Callithrix jacchus: one gene and its partner. The protein of the gene in region 1 binds, or shares a complex with, the protein of each later gene. Links are inferred from orthologs where the notes say so. Each region holds a gene or a part of one and is shown on either strand. Other genes may lie near its edges.

Region 1 (4,011 bases):
AATCATCAGCCTACTGCCTTGCTTTCTCCTGGGAGCCCTGTTGCCCTTCAGAAAAGTGTAAGGATATTTTCAGGGACTTGCTTAAGCTTTGATCAGTTTGGATTAGGAAGAAAACTGCTTGTATCCCATTTGCCATTCCAAATTTTCAAATATCTCAACCAGAGCTGGAGTGGAGACTGCATCATTACAATGAAAAAAATAAAACATATAGAACTAAATAAGGGTCAAATGGGAAATTAGTGAGGTTTTTTTTTTTTTTTTTACCTTTCTTCATTTCCTTTTCTTTTTTGAAGATTTTCCCTGTTTCTTCCATAATCATGGCATCACCTTTCTCACACAGGCTCAGTACCGACACACCTGAGCTAGATGCTTCCACCAAGGACCGAAGTACCCCTGAGGACAGAATGCCATCATGTCAGCCTTGTATGTATTTATTGTCTAGTTACCACCCAAGGAATACCTGGAAGCTGGACTTAGGAGTCTGTAATACTCTCTAGTGCTACTGCCCCGAGGCTGAAAGGACAACATTCCCTTCCCTTCCTTATTACGTTACAAGTGGGTATATACAATCCATCTTCCTAGGCAAGGCCTTGGACTTTCCAAAGATGCTACCTTTGGTGTGACAGGACAGAGTTATGAACTTTAGAGGGTTCTTGCCAAGGTATGCCCACATACACGCAAAGACAAGATGAAATTTATAGGCATCAGGGACAACAAGAAGGTAGACAGAATTGCAGACTCGAAGCTGATGCATTATTAAATGTTACCGCCTTCCTTTCTCAGACATTCTAATTAGGTGTTAGGAATCTCAACCTATGTAGACTTATTTCCTCATAAACAAGAGTATAAGCCAAAGGGGCTTAACCTAAGGTCCCTGGGTTTCATTTCAGGGGATCATGGCTTATCTCAAAGAGATGTGAGGCCAAATTTACAAAATTTATATCTGAGATCACAATGGCCTGAAGTTATAAACTGCAAAAAAGAGACTTTCTGATTCAAACTACTATCTCAAATACTAACAGGCACCAAAAACCAGGGTACTATACTAAATGTCCACTGTGCACAGGTTTGATTTTTGAAATCTCAGTTTTGGTGATTCTTTGAAAGCTGGTAAAAACTCAGATTTTCACCCACAGGACCGGAGGCATCCTAAATACCGCTTCCCCACCATCTTTGCTGTTAAAACCATTTAAAAGCTGGGCACAGTGGCTCACACCTGCAGTCCAGGCACTTTGGGAGGCCAACGTGTGCGGATACCTGAGGTCAGGAGTTCAAGACCGGCCTGGCCAACATGGTGAAACCCGGTCTCCACTAAAAATACAAAAAACAAGCTAGGCATAAGGACATGCTCCAGTAATCCCAGCTGTTGTGAGGCTAAGGCAGGAGAATCGCTTGAACCCAGGAGGCGGAGGTTGCAGTGAGCCAAGACTGCGCCATTGCACTCCAGCCTGGGCAACAAGAGTGAAACTCTGTCTCAAAAAACAACAACAACAAAAACCAAAAAACCACACACACACACACACCCCAAAAAACATTTAAAAGCCCACGGACAAGCAGTTTCTATCTCCCTGAGTTTTAAGTAAAATGGAAAGGCGAATTGGAAAGAGAGAAAAGAGAAAGTGACATCTGCCTACAGTGACAGGCTACTGCTGAGATCGTCAGAGCACAGCTTGAATAAAGATGACTTGTGACAATCCTAAAATCAGTCCTCTCTTTTCCAGTACTGTTTGCAAGCTTGCCTAGTTGGGATAAGACGGGGACTCCAAAACATTTGAGTTGTCAAGTCACTGAGAACAACAAATGTGAATGCTAACTAAGGCTATCTGCACAGATTGGAAAGGTGGTAGTAATGAGTAACTTCAAGAAAAGCCATATATATCTCCAAGACTTTGGTTAGAAGCTCCCGGAGTGCCCTCCAACGGATCCCTTAGCTGGTCCAAGGGTAGAAGGGGGCCCCCACCAGGGTAAGAGCTGAAGTAAAGGAAAGGCTCCAGCAAAGCACGTGGCAAGGAAGCTGGTGTCAGGGACAGTAGTGGAGGAAGAAGGGGGCCAGCCATCCGCAAGGGGACCCAGCAACACGTGCGAGAGGCTCGGCTCCTGAAGCCCCAGAGAATCGACAAAACAAGAGGGGGGCTTCTGTCGCCAATAGCTGGGCGCTTCCTTTTCGAGGTGGCCTCGCCGCTGCCAGAATCAGATGAAGCAGAAATCGGGACTGAAGGATTGGAACAGGAGAAAACCTGTCTTGCCTCCTAACAAACGGCCTCGGGTCGGAGCCTGCCAGGGGTCCCTCTCTGCGCTCATCCCAGTCGCCGGCCCACACGTCCACAGACTTCAGCCTGGGCCTGGCCACTCAGGTCCCAGGCGCTACACCCGGTCTTTCCACCACGCCGCCCCCAGAGAACCGGTGCGGACCCCTCGGTAGCTCACTCCGCATGACCCCTCCTCTCCAGCCCCTTTGGGGCCAGCCTGGCACCTTTCCCTGTCAGCTTTGATTCCCCGACCCCTGAGGCCGCACTCACGGTTGGCGATGTCGCCCCCCATCTTATACTTGGTCACGACCAGGTCCTCGGCGATAGTTTGCTCCTGCTGCTCGTCCTCGCCCGACATCTTCCTACCACCACCACTGCAGCCTGGTTTCCCCTGAGCCGCCGCCTCTGTCCCCGTTCCCAGCCTCAGGCTGTGGTCAGAGTCCCCTAGATCCTCGAGGAGAGGGCGAGCGAAAGCGCGAGCAAGCAAGGGAGCGGGCAAGCTGGCGAGAGCGAGAAGCTGCGAGCGCGCGGGCTGAGGCGCAGGGCACGCTGGGACAACTAGTCCTCTTCACCGCCAGCCTCTAGCCGCCCTCGGGGGCTTGAGAACTACAATTCCCAGCCTGCCTCTCGCCCTCCTAAGCCAGGCCCAGGGGCCTTGCCCTCCAAGGGCCTCGCACGCCGGAATTGCCGGGCACGCTGGGAAGGGTCAGGCTCCGGCGGGAAGGCGGAGCCGTTGGGGAGCTTGCGGGGAAGCGTGGTCTCTCCCGGAAAAACCACTTCCACCGAGAACTCTGAGCGAGAGCCCGTAACAGAGAGGGGCGGGCCGAGGGGAGAGGGGCGGAGCTACGGCGGGGAAATAGGTTTAGAGGCAAGGGTGGAGCCGGGGCGGGTGGGCAGTGTCTACACCTAGGGCGGGGAAGCGGGGTGCGCCCTTCCTTGGATCCCTCGATCGGCTGGCGAAACCCGCCCAGCCGGTCCAGTAGTCCTGCGAAGCTGGGAGAATAGGGAGAGGCAGACAGATGGAAGAAGACCTAGGGTGCTGGGAGCAGGGGCTAACTGGGCAGCCAGAATCCGGAGGGATCATCCATTTAAAGGCCTCCCAATCTAGAGGCTGGACTCCTTAAAGAAGTAACATGACATTGTTCCAATAACAGGCTGGATGGAGCACTTAAGGGAAGTGTTCAGAAAGACAGATGTTTGTTGAGAGCGCTTACTGTGAAAAAACAAAATAAAAAGATTTGGTGACTTTTCTAAGAATGAATTCAGAAACACGTAGAGGTTTCAGTATTTGGCCTCTGAAGGAGACCGGACACGTATATAGTGCTTTTTATAAGTCCCCAAGCACGTGGGTTATTTGTTTTTGTTATTCTCAATTGTTTTTGCTTTGTAGATTCCTACTAAAACCCCAAAGGACTATAAGCTATGCTTGTTCTAAAGAAATACAAGTAATAATAGGACTAGAGAAAGCTGCATGGGACGGAGTAGCATTGTCAGAAGACAGAAAGGTGACTGTCCTCTGCTGAGGAGATCTATCTAACATATGAAATGTTTTCATTTGACAGACAGGAAGCTGAAAAAAACTTTGGCATTTTTATTCAGACATGTATAAAAACAAAACATTTCAGTGATACAACAGATATTTTCCCTCAGTTCCCCATCCAAAGGAACAGAGGCGTGAAACTGGGTCTTCTTTCTATCCTACCTGGAAGCTTCTTACTGCTGGGATGAGAATGGCTCCTAAAAGTGAATCTTGGGGGAATCC
Region 2 (7,236 bases), on another chromosome or scaffold:
CTAATAATACATCTGTGCTGATGTTAACATTTAATACTTACCTTTTTTTGAGGTGAGTTTGAGAATATCAAAACTATTTCCAAGTGAAAATTAATTTACTAGCCATCAACCAATTTTGCACAAAAGCCTGTTGCCTATATGACTACCAGAAAATAAGCAGCATCTGTAGTTTTTAAATCACTTTACAAAGTTGAGAAGCTTATCTTTCAGATGCTAGACCCACCCCCCACCATCATTTACATTACATATACAAACGCCTTATTCCCCTTTTGCCTTCCCCTGAAGACTTTTACAATTAACAATAAAAGATAGCTAATACCATTAGATTGCCTTTTAAGAACTTTTAATTTGCTAACATATAAACACAAGAGTCAAAATCTTACTTAACAATTTAAAGATTAACTGACAGACCCAGTTAGAATCTTACATGAAGAGGAAAAAGGACAACCATGCATAGTTTTTTAAAAAATGTTTATTTTTTCAAAGAAAAATGGCAATAGCCAATTGGAAACCTACTTATTCTTCAACTCCAATTTTGTTTTCTTTAAATTTAGAAGTGACTTACTGATTTACTATTTTAAACAAACCCCCCCCTTTTCCCCTTTAAATGTTTACCATCTACTCGTGCTGAATCCTTCCAAGGAGATTGCTCCAGCGTTTATCTCCAGGTCCTCGCTTTGCTCCTTTTACCAAAAAATGCAAAACACAATTCCATCGTGCATCTTAAGGGCTCCAATCGTCAAAAATAGGAAAAAAAAAAATCTTTGGAATAGCCAATTAAGTTGAATAAAAAAATCCACACGAATGCGGTTTGGTTGGGGCAGGAATCCACTCCTATGTTCCTGGTAATCTGATCCCGCTCCATGAATCCTGGTAATTCATCCTCCCTATCCTATCCACATTATGATTTGAATCCAATGATCCAGCTCCAAGGATTGGGATCCAGTGAGCCCTCTCCAATCCAAACCTTTATAACCAGCAAAACCAAAAAAGAGGAGGCAAAACGTTAGATACTGTAATCAAAAAAGGTTTCTGGGGAATGATGAGTTATGTCAGTCATCAGTTTAACAGATGCACATCAATAACTATCAAATTCCCCAAAACAAGTTTCTGAATGGTGTTCAGATAAATTTTAGAAACTTAATCATCATAGAGACTAACTGGAAGAAGCATCTTATATTTACAGTTCAACTGATAATGCCAACACTTGTTACTGTACAGTGTATTACAGGTTTCGTGGTTGCAAGAAGTTATGTAATTTAAGTTTACTGGCATTGCTACCCACCTAATCTAAAACTAAATCTAATGCTCCCATTTGCAATTTAATTTGTAAATTAAAGTGTTTTAAACATATGAATCAATTATGAATATTAAAGGGGAAGGTGAGACCTAAGTATTCCCAACTAGATTATCTACACCAATACATTGGAACTCTATTATTTTGCTTTCATTTTGTCTTAAAAAAATGAAATAGCAACGCTCTATCAGTCACACAGAGGACATGCAGATTTAGCAGTATTGATATTATACTCTATCTTGTTGGATTTAAAGACACCCTCTACCCACATGTACACCAACAGCAGGTCACACATTAACAGTTGTAACTAAGCACTGCGACAAATTAGCCAGTTCTTCCCACATTAGTCCCTATTATAACAAAAATGGGGGGAAGGGAGCAAAATAAGTTGCTACAAAATGGGCAACATAATTTTGCCACAATTGCCAAGGTTTAAAAGGTAAAGCAATTGTAGCTAAAGGTAACTGAATAAAACATTCAAGTGTTTTAAGGAAAATGTATATAATCATTTTTACCCCCCTGCCTTTTAGTATAAGGTCAATACTGCCAATTTCATCTGTGACAATAGCACTTGGAGTCATACCATTGCCTCCATTATTGATCTGATCCTCCTCAATCCTCCTTTTGACAATCCTAAAATGATTGAAATGTGCTCCACAATCCTTAATCCAAAGCATTCTTAATCCATCTCTTCAGATATGTCTACAGAAAGACACATGAAAAGCAAGATAAACATAAGAACTTCCCCAGGTAAGATAACCATAAACATCCCCAACATCCCAGTTCACACAAATCAGGGCAAAATAGACATTTACACAATATCACAGTCTGAAGAGTATGGAGTTAACTAAATTTAAACAATCCTGTCTATGACATCACTTAAAATACAATTTATCGAAGACACGAGGGGAATGTAGATGTTAGGAGCAAAGGGATATTACAAGAATGCAATTCAACACTTTAGCCCATTCTGAACAAAACAGTTTGAATTAAAAAATGAAAAGATTGTACTGAATAAAGGAAAACTGTATACAACATGGGTTCTACAAAAAGTGTCACCAATCATCTTATGTACGAGAGCGAGATCTGCTATGACGGGGAGAATAGCGTGGTGATCCTCTGCTTCTCCTTGGGGAGTAACTGCGACTCCTGCTGTTGCTTCTGCTACGGCTTCTGCTACGACTACGGCTTCGAGATCGAGATCTTCCATAACTTGGACTTCTGGGCCCATCAACTTTAACCCGGATGTAGGCAGTTTCTCCCTATTGGATAGACAGAACTTTCCATTGAAAGATCTAAGCTTTCACCTAGCTTCAGGCATGCTGAATGAATACAATGTAACTAAAACCAGAAATCTGGCAATTTACTTGGACACCCTTGCCTGAATCCTTACCTTCAAATTCCACTGTTAAGACCACTGTATCCAATTCTGGTCAAAAAAAAGAATAAGCATATAACCTACCTCATGGGATCTAAACTTAGTGTTATCCAGTTTTCGAACTGCATAGGTCATATCTTCTTTCCGTACAAACTCCACGACACCAGTGCCATCTCGGTAAACATCAGCATAACATACATCACCTGCTTCACGCATGTGATCCTTTAAATCCTGCCAACTTCCACTTGGAGGCAGTCCTGAAAAAGCGATTTTTTTTCTTAGTATCAATTATCTTAAATTTCACGTTAAGCTGATAAGGTACATTAGGACAAAGAGTACTTTAAAATACTTAATAGTTGTACTTAAGTGATACCAGGTAAAGAGCTGGTAAGATTCTGGAATCCAGAGTCCAAAATTATTTGTAACGGATCTTCGTATCTAGTACCGCAACCTAATTTGGTAAATCACCACAGCAGCAATCCTCGTTTATTAAATTCACCCAAAAACTAAAGCAATTTAAGACCTAGCATGAAAAATTTGCAATTGTTAAACCGGTCACGCAAGAGAAAATTTTTAAGTAGTTTCCGTCCCTTCACATCAACCACACAACCGGTAGACTTACCAGAGACAACCACTCTGTTTTCAGACCGCCTGGATGGGGGGCCATAGCGACCTCGGGGAGCTCCGCCACCTCCACCCCCGCCGCCTCCTCGGCCTGTTCCACGGCCGCTTCGAGGAAACTCCACCCGCAGACGATATCCATCGTAATCATAGCCGTCGCGACCATACACCGCGTCTTCCGCGTCCCTGCGGGATCGTAGACAGTAAAAGGCATGAGAAAGACCAGGAGGAGAAGATCGCTCAGTCGGGAACCAGCGAACCCCCCGCACATGCGCACCCAACGTGGAAGAGCCCACATGCGCCGCATAATGGGAATGACCCCTCCCCCACCCAGAAACACGCCAGGCTCCCAGCCACTACACCAGCCCTCAGCGCCTCAGTTTCCCGCTCCAGCCTGCGAATGGGCTCCGGGGACGTCCAAGGCGAGGCGCCAGAGAAGCCACACCAACTCAGCTCCTCACTCGACTCCTGCATGGGCGATACAGTCTCGCCCCATCCTCTCTAAGAGCCCCCGCCTTCCCGTTCTCTATATTAAGGCCTTGGAGTCTTCCCCGACCACTCGGACCTATTTCCTCAAGGCTGCAAGCCCCATGCCGCCTCACCGCGGGTCCTCGAACTCAACGAAGGCGAAGGGCGGTCCCCCGCGGCGATTCTTGAGATCGATGTCGCGGATAGCGCCGTATTTGTAGAACACGTCCTCAATGTCCTTGGTTCGGATGTCTGGAGGTAAGTTACCCACGTAAATGCGGCAATCGTTGTTCCCTGCGGGGCCACGAATCACACCACCTCCCGACATGGCGGCGACGAAAAACGTGGACTCGAGAACGGGCCTTCCCACCAAGCCTAGCGCACGGCAGAGCAAGCCCGCAGCGGCACCACGTCTCCCGCGGCCCCTCCAAAATGGCGCCTTTATCAGTTCGGCGCACGGATATGGGGGGGGGGGGAGACAGAGGAAGAGAAGCGGAAGGAAACAGCGATTCGATCCCAACACGCACGCGCTGCGAAGACTACGTTCAACGTACGCGCGCGCACGCACGCGCGACGTCACCCTCCGCACGAAGGGGGAAAAAAAGTCCCCCGCGTTCCCGGCTTGGGGTGGTTTGCGAATAGAGTGGCCGTTTGGTAAAAGTTAAATAAAGAACTCTCTCTAAAGGAGCTAGTCTTCCAGGTCGGGTCTTGAAGGACAGTCAGTTTCCCCAGGAATGAGGATCTCTGAAAGCAACTCGGCGCCTTGAAAGGACTTGGTGAAACCTAGCCTAGAGCCTTGTCCCACCATGCTCTGCGGCGATAACGGCCTTTGGCGGGAAGGAGTCTCGGGGGCGGGGCCAAAGGGGGAGGGACCGGGCGGTTGCTCCGGAAACCCAGGCATCCTTGTAGAGTGCGTCTAGTTCAGAGCTGAGGTGCCATTGGAGAGCTGGGGCGTTGGTTTGTCTTCCCTCTCCTCCTGCGAACAGGGCGTGGCTCCTTAGACAATGAGATTTGTCTAATTTAGCAAAACCGATTTCGATTCCTAAATAAATCCTCTTCACTAAGTACCGTTCCACCTTCTGGTCAGAACTTTGCATAGCTTAGTTCAGCACTCCTTGTGCTTAGTCGCGGTGGGTAGGTCGTACTAGCTATCCGGAAGGGGTGAAAACACCGTACCGCCTCTGGGACCCACACCTCTGTATCTCTTGTTAGTCGCCTATCCGTGGGACTGGCGCAAAAGATTTGCAAATTTGTTTCCGTTGTTTCCTTTCAAATAAAGAGAAGGAAGAAGGGGTGCGTGTGTGCAGTTTTCCCTAAAAGTTACTGATATACCAGGTTTTGAAACTACCAGTCCTCTCAGGTAATAAAATGGAGCGAAATGGATGTGAGAACCGTAACCACTAGAGACCGCGGTTGCTACTCAGGACTGTGATCTACTTGCCTGCAGTCTTGGGAGATAATATTTTACATTTTTTTCCGACGTCTAAAATCTAGATTTTTTATGTTAAATCCAGGGATTTTTAAGGTAATGAATTCAAATTAAAATCAGGCTGGGCGTGGTAGCTCACGCCAGCACTTTGATGGGCGGGTCACATTGAGGTCAGTAGTTCAAGACCAGCTTGGCCAACATGGTGAAAACCAATCGCGGTGGCTCACGCCTGTAATCCCAGCACTTTGGGAGGCCGAGGCGGGTGGATCACGAGGTCAAGAGATCGAGACCATCCTAGTCAACATGGTGAAACCCCGTCTCTACTAAAAAATACAAAAAATGAGCTGGGCATGGTGGCACGTGCCTGTAATCCTACCTACTCGGGAGGCTGAGGCAGGAGAATTGCCTGAACCCAGGAGGCAGAGGTTGCAGTGAGCCGAGATCGCGCCATTGCACTCCAGCCTGGGTAACAATAGAGAAACTCCGTCTCAAAAAATAAATAAATAAATAAATAAAAATAAAAAGCCAGGTGTGGTGGCGGGCGCTTGTAATCCCAGCAGTTTGGGAGGCTGAGGCAGGCCGACAGATCACAAGGTCAGGAGTTTTGAGGCCAACCTGGCCAATATGGTGAAAGCCTGTCTCTACTAAAAATATAAAAATTAGCTGGGCATGGTGGCGTGCGCCTGTAGTCCCAGCTACTCAGGAGGCTGAGGCAGGAGAATCGCTTGAACCCGGAGAGCAGAGGTTGCCGTGAGCCGGGATCGAGCCACTGTACTCCAGCATGGGCGACAGAGTGAAACTCCGTCTCAAAAAAAAGAAAAAGAAAAAAAATCAAATTGAAATAAGCAGGAATGCTTGGTCTTGTGTCTGTGGACCCTCAATATATGCACAGATGACGTTCGGTAGTCGAACTTTCTGTAATATTTTCCAAAGTTTTATGCATGTGTACATCTACAAAAATATATGCATGTGTGTACTTTTTTCTAGGAAGAGGATTTGAAATTTTAATCAAATTCTTAAAGGAGTCCATAGATCCCAAAAGGGAAAAGAACTATATGTGTGTGTGTGTGTGTGTGTGTGTATATATATATATATATATATATATATATATATATGTATGTATGTATTTTTTTTTTGAGTCACCCAGGGTGGAGTGCAATGATGTGATCTCAGCTCCCTGCAACCTCTGCTTCCCTGGCTCAAGCCATTCTTGTGCCTCAGCCTTCCAAGTAGTTAGAATTACAGACATGTGCCACCATGTCCAGCTAATTTTTGTATTTTTAGAAGAAACAGGGTTTTGCCATGTTGGCCAGGCTGGTCTCGAACTCCTGGCCTCAAGTGATCCACCAGCCTCAGCCTCCCAAAGTGGTGGGATTACAGGCATGAGCCCCTGAACCCAGCCAATTTTTTTTTTTTTTTTAGACAGGGACTTGCTCTGTCATTCAGGCTGGAATGCAGTGGTACAATCACAGCTCACTTCAGCCTCAACCTCCTGGACCCAAGCCATCTTCCCACCTCAATCTTCTAAGTAGCTGGGACTACAGCTACAAAAAATGCAAAATCACTACAGAAAATACAAAAATCAGTCTGAAGCGGTGGTACGTACCTGTAACTTTAGTAGAGTACGTACCTGTACCACCGCTTCAGACTGATTTTTGTATTTTTTATGGTGATGGCGTCTTGCCATGTTACCTAGGCTGCTCTCGAACTCCTGAAGTCATGTGATCCTCCTGTCTTAGCCTCCCAAAAGGGAGGGAACTACAGGTGTGAGCCACTGTGCCTGGCCAGAGCCTGAATTTTTTTTTTTTTTTTTTTTTTGATGAGGACCAAAAGAGATACTATTTCAACAAATTTAATGTTTCTAGCATTGTTCCATTAAGTGAATGGCAGAAAAGAGGAGAGTTCTAAAAAACTTGCAGCCTTTTGATTCTTTTATTCAAAGTTATTTGCTGGACACATTTTCTTTCTGTTCTTTTCTCCATCAATTTAAATTTATACAGGCAAATCTTCTGTTAATTAATGATAAGCCAATAATTGGGTAAT

Evidence for each region. The genes of interacting proteins can lie anywhere in the genome.
Region 2: PA2G4 (region 1) and SRSF1 share a complex: the UniProt entries of both Homo sapiens proteins name them as parts of the ribonucleoprotein complex. The link is inferred for Callithrix jacchus from reciprocal best matches to the Homo sapiens genes PA2G4 and SRSF1.

The regions. Positions count from the first base shown.
Region 1 is NC_133510.1:63,563,934-63,567,944, forward strand, and holds the start of PA2G4 (proliferation-associated protein 2G4), read right to left. Parts: upstream 2,801-4,011; 5' UTR 2,608-2,800; coding exon 2,520-2,607; intron 394-2,519; coding exon 265-393; intron 1-264. UniProt on the Homo sapiens protein: May play a role in a ERBB3-regulated signal transduction pathway. Seems be involved in growth regulation. Acts a corepressor of the androgen receptor (AR) and is regulated by the ERBB3 ligand neuregulin-1/heregulin (HRG).
Region 2 is NC_133506.1:108,327,740-108,334,975, reverse strand, and holds the start of SRSF1 (serine/arginine-rich splicing factor 1), read right to left. Parts: upstream 4,216-7,236; 5' UTR 4,093-4,215; coding exon 3,899-4,092; exon of another isoform or gene 3,483-3,898; coding exon 3,298-3,482; exon of another isoform or gene 2,933-3,297; coding exon 2,760-2,932; exon of another isoform or gene 2,560-2,759; coding exon 2,373-2,559; exon of another isoform or gene 2,000-2,372; coding exon 1,977-1,999; coding exon of another isoform or gene 1,961-1,976; 3' UTR 1-1,960. UniProt on the Homo sapiens protein: Plays a role in preventing exon skipping, ensuring the accuracy of splicing and regulating alternative splicing.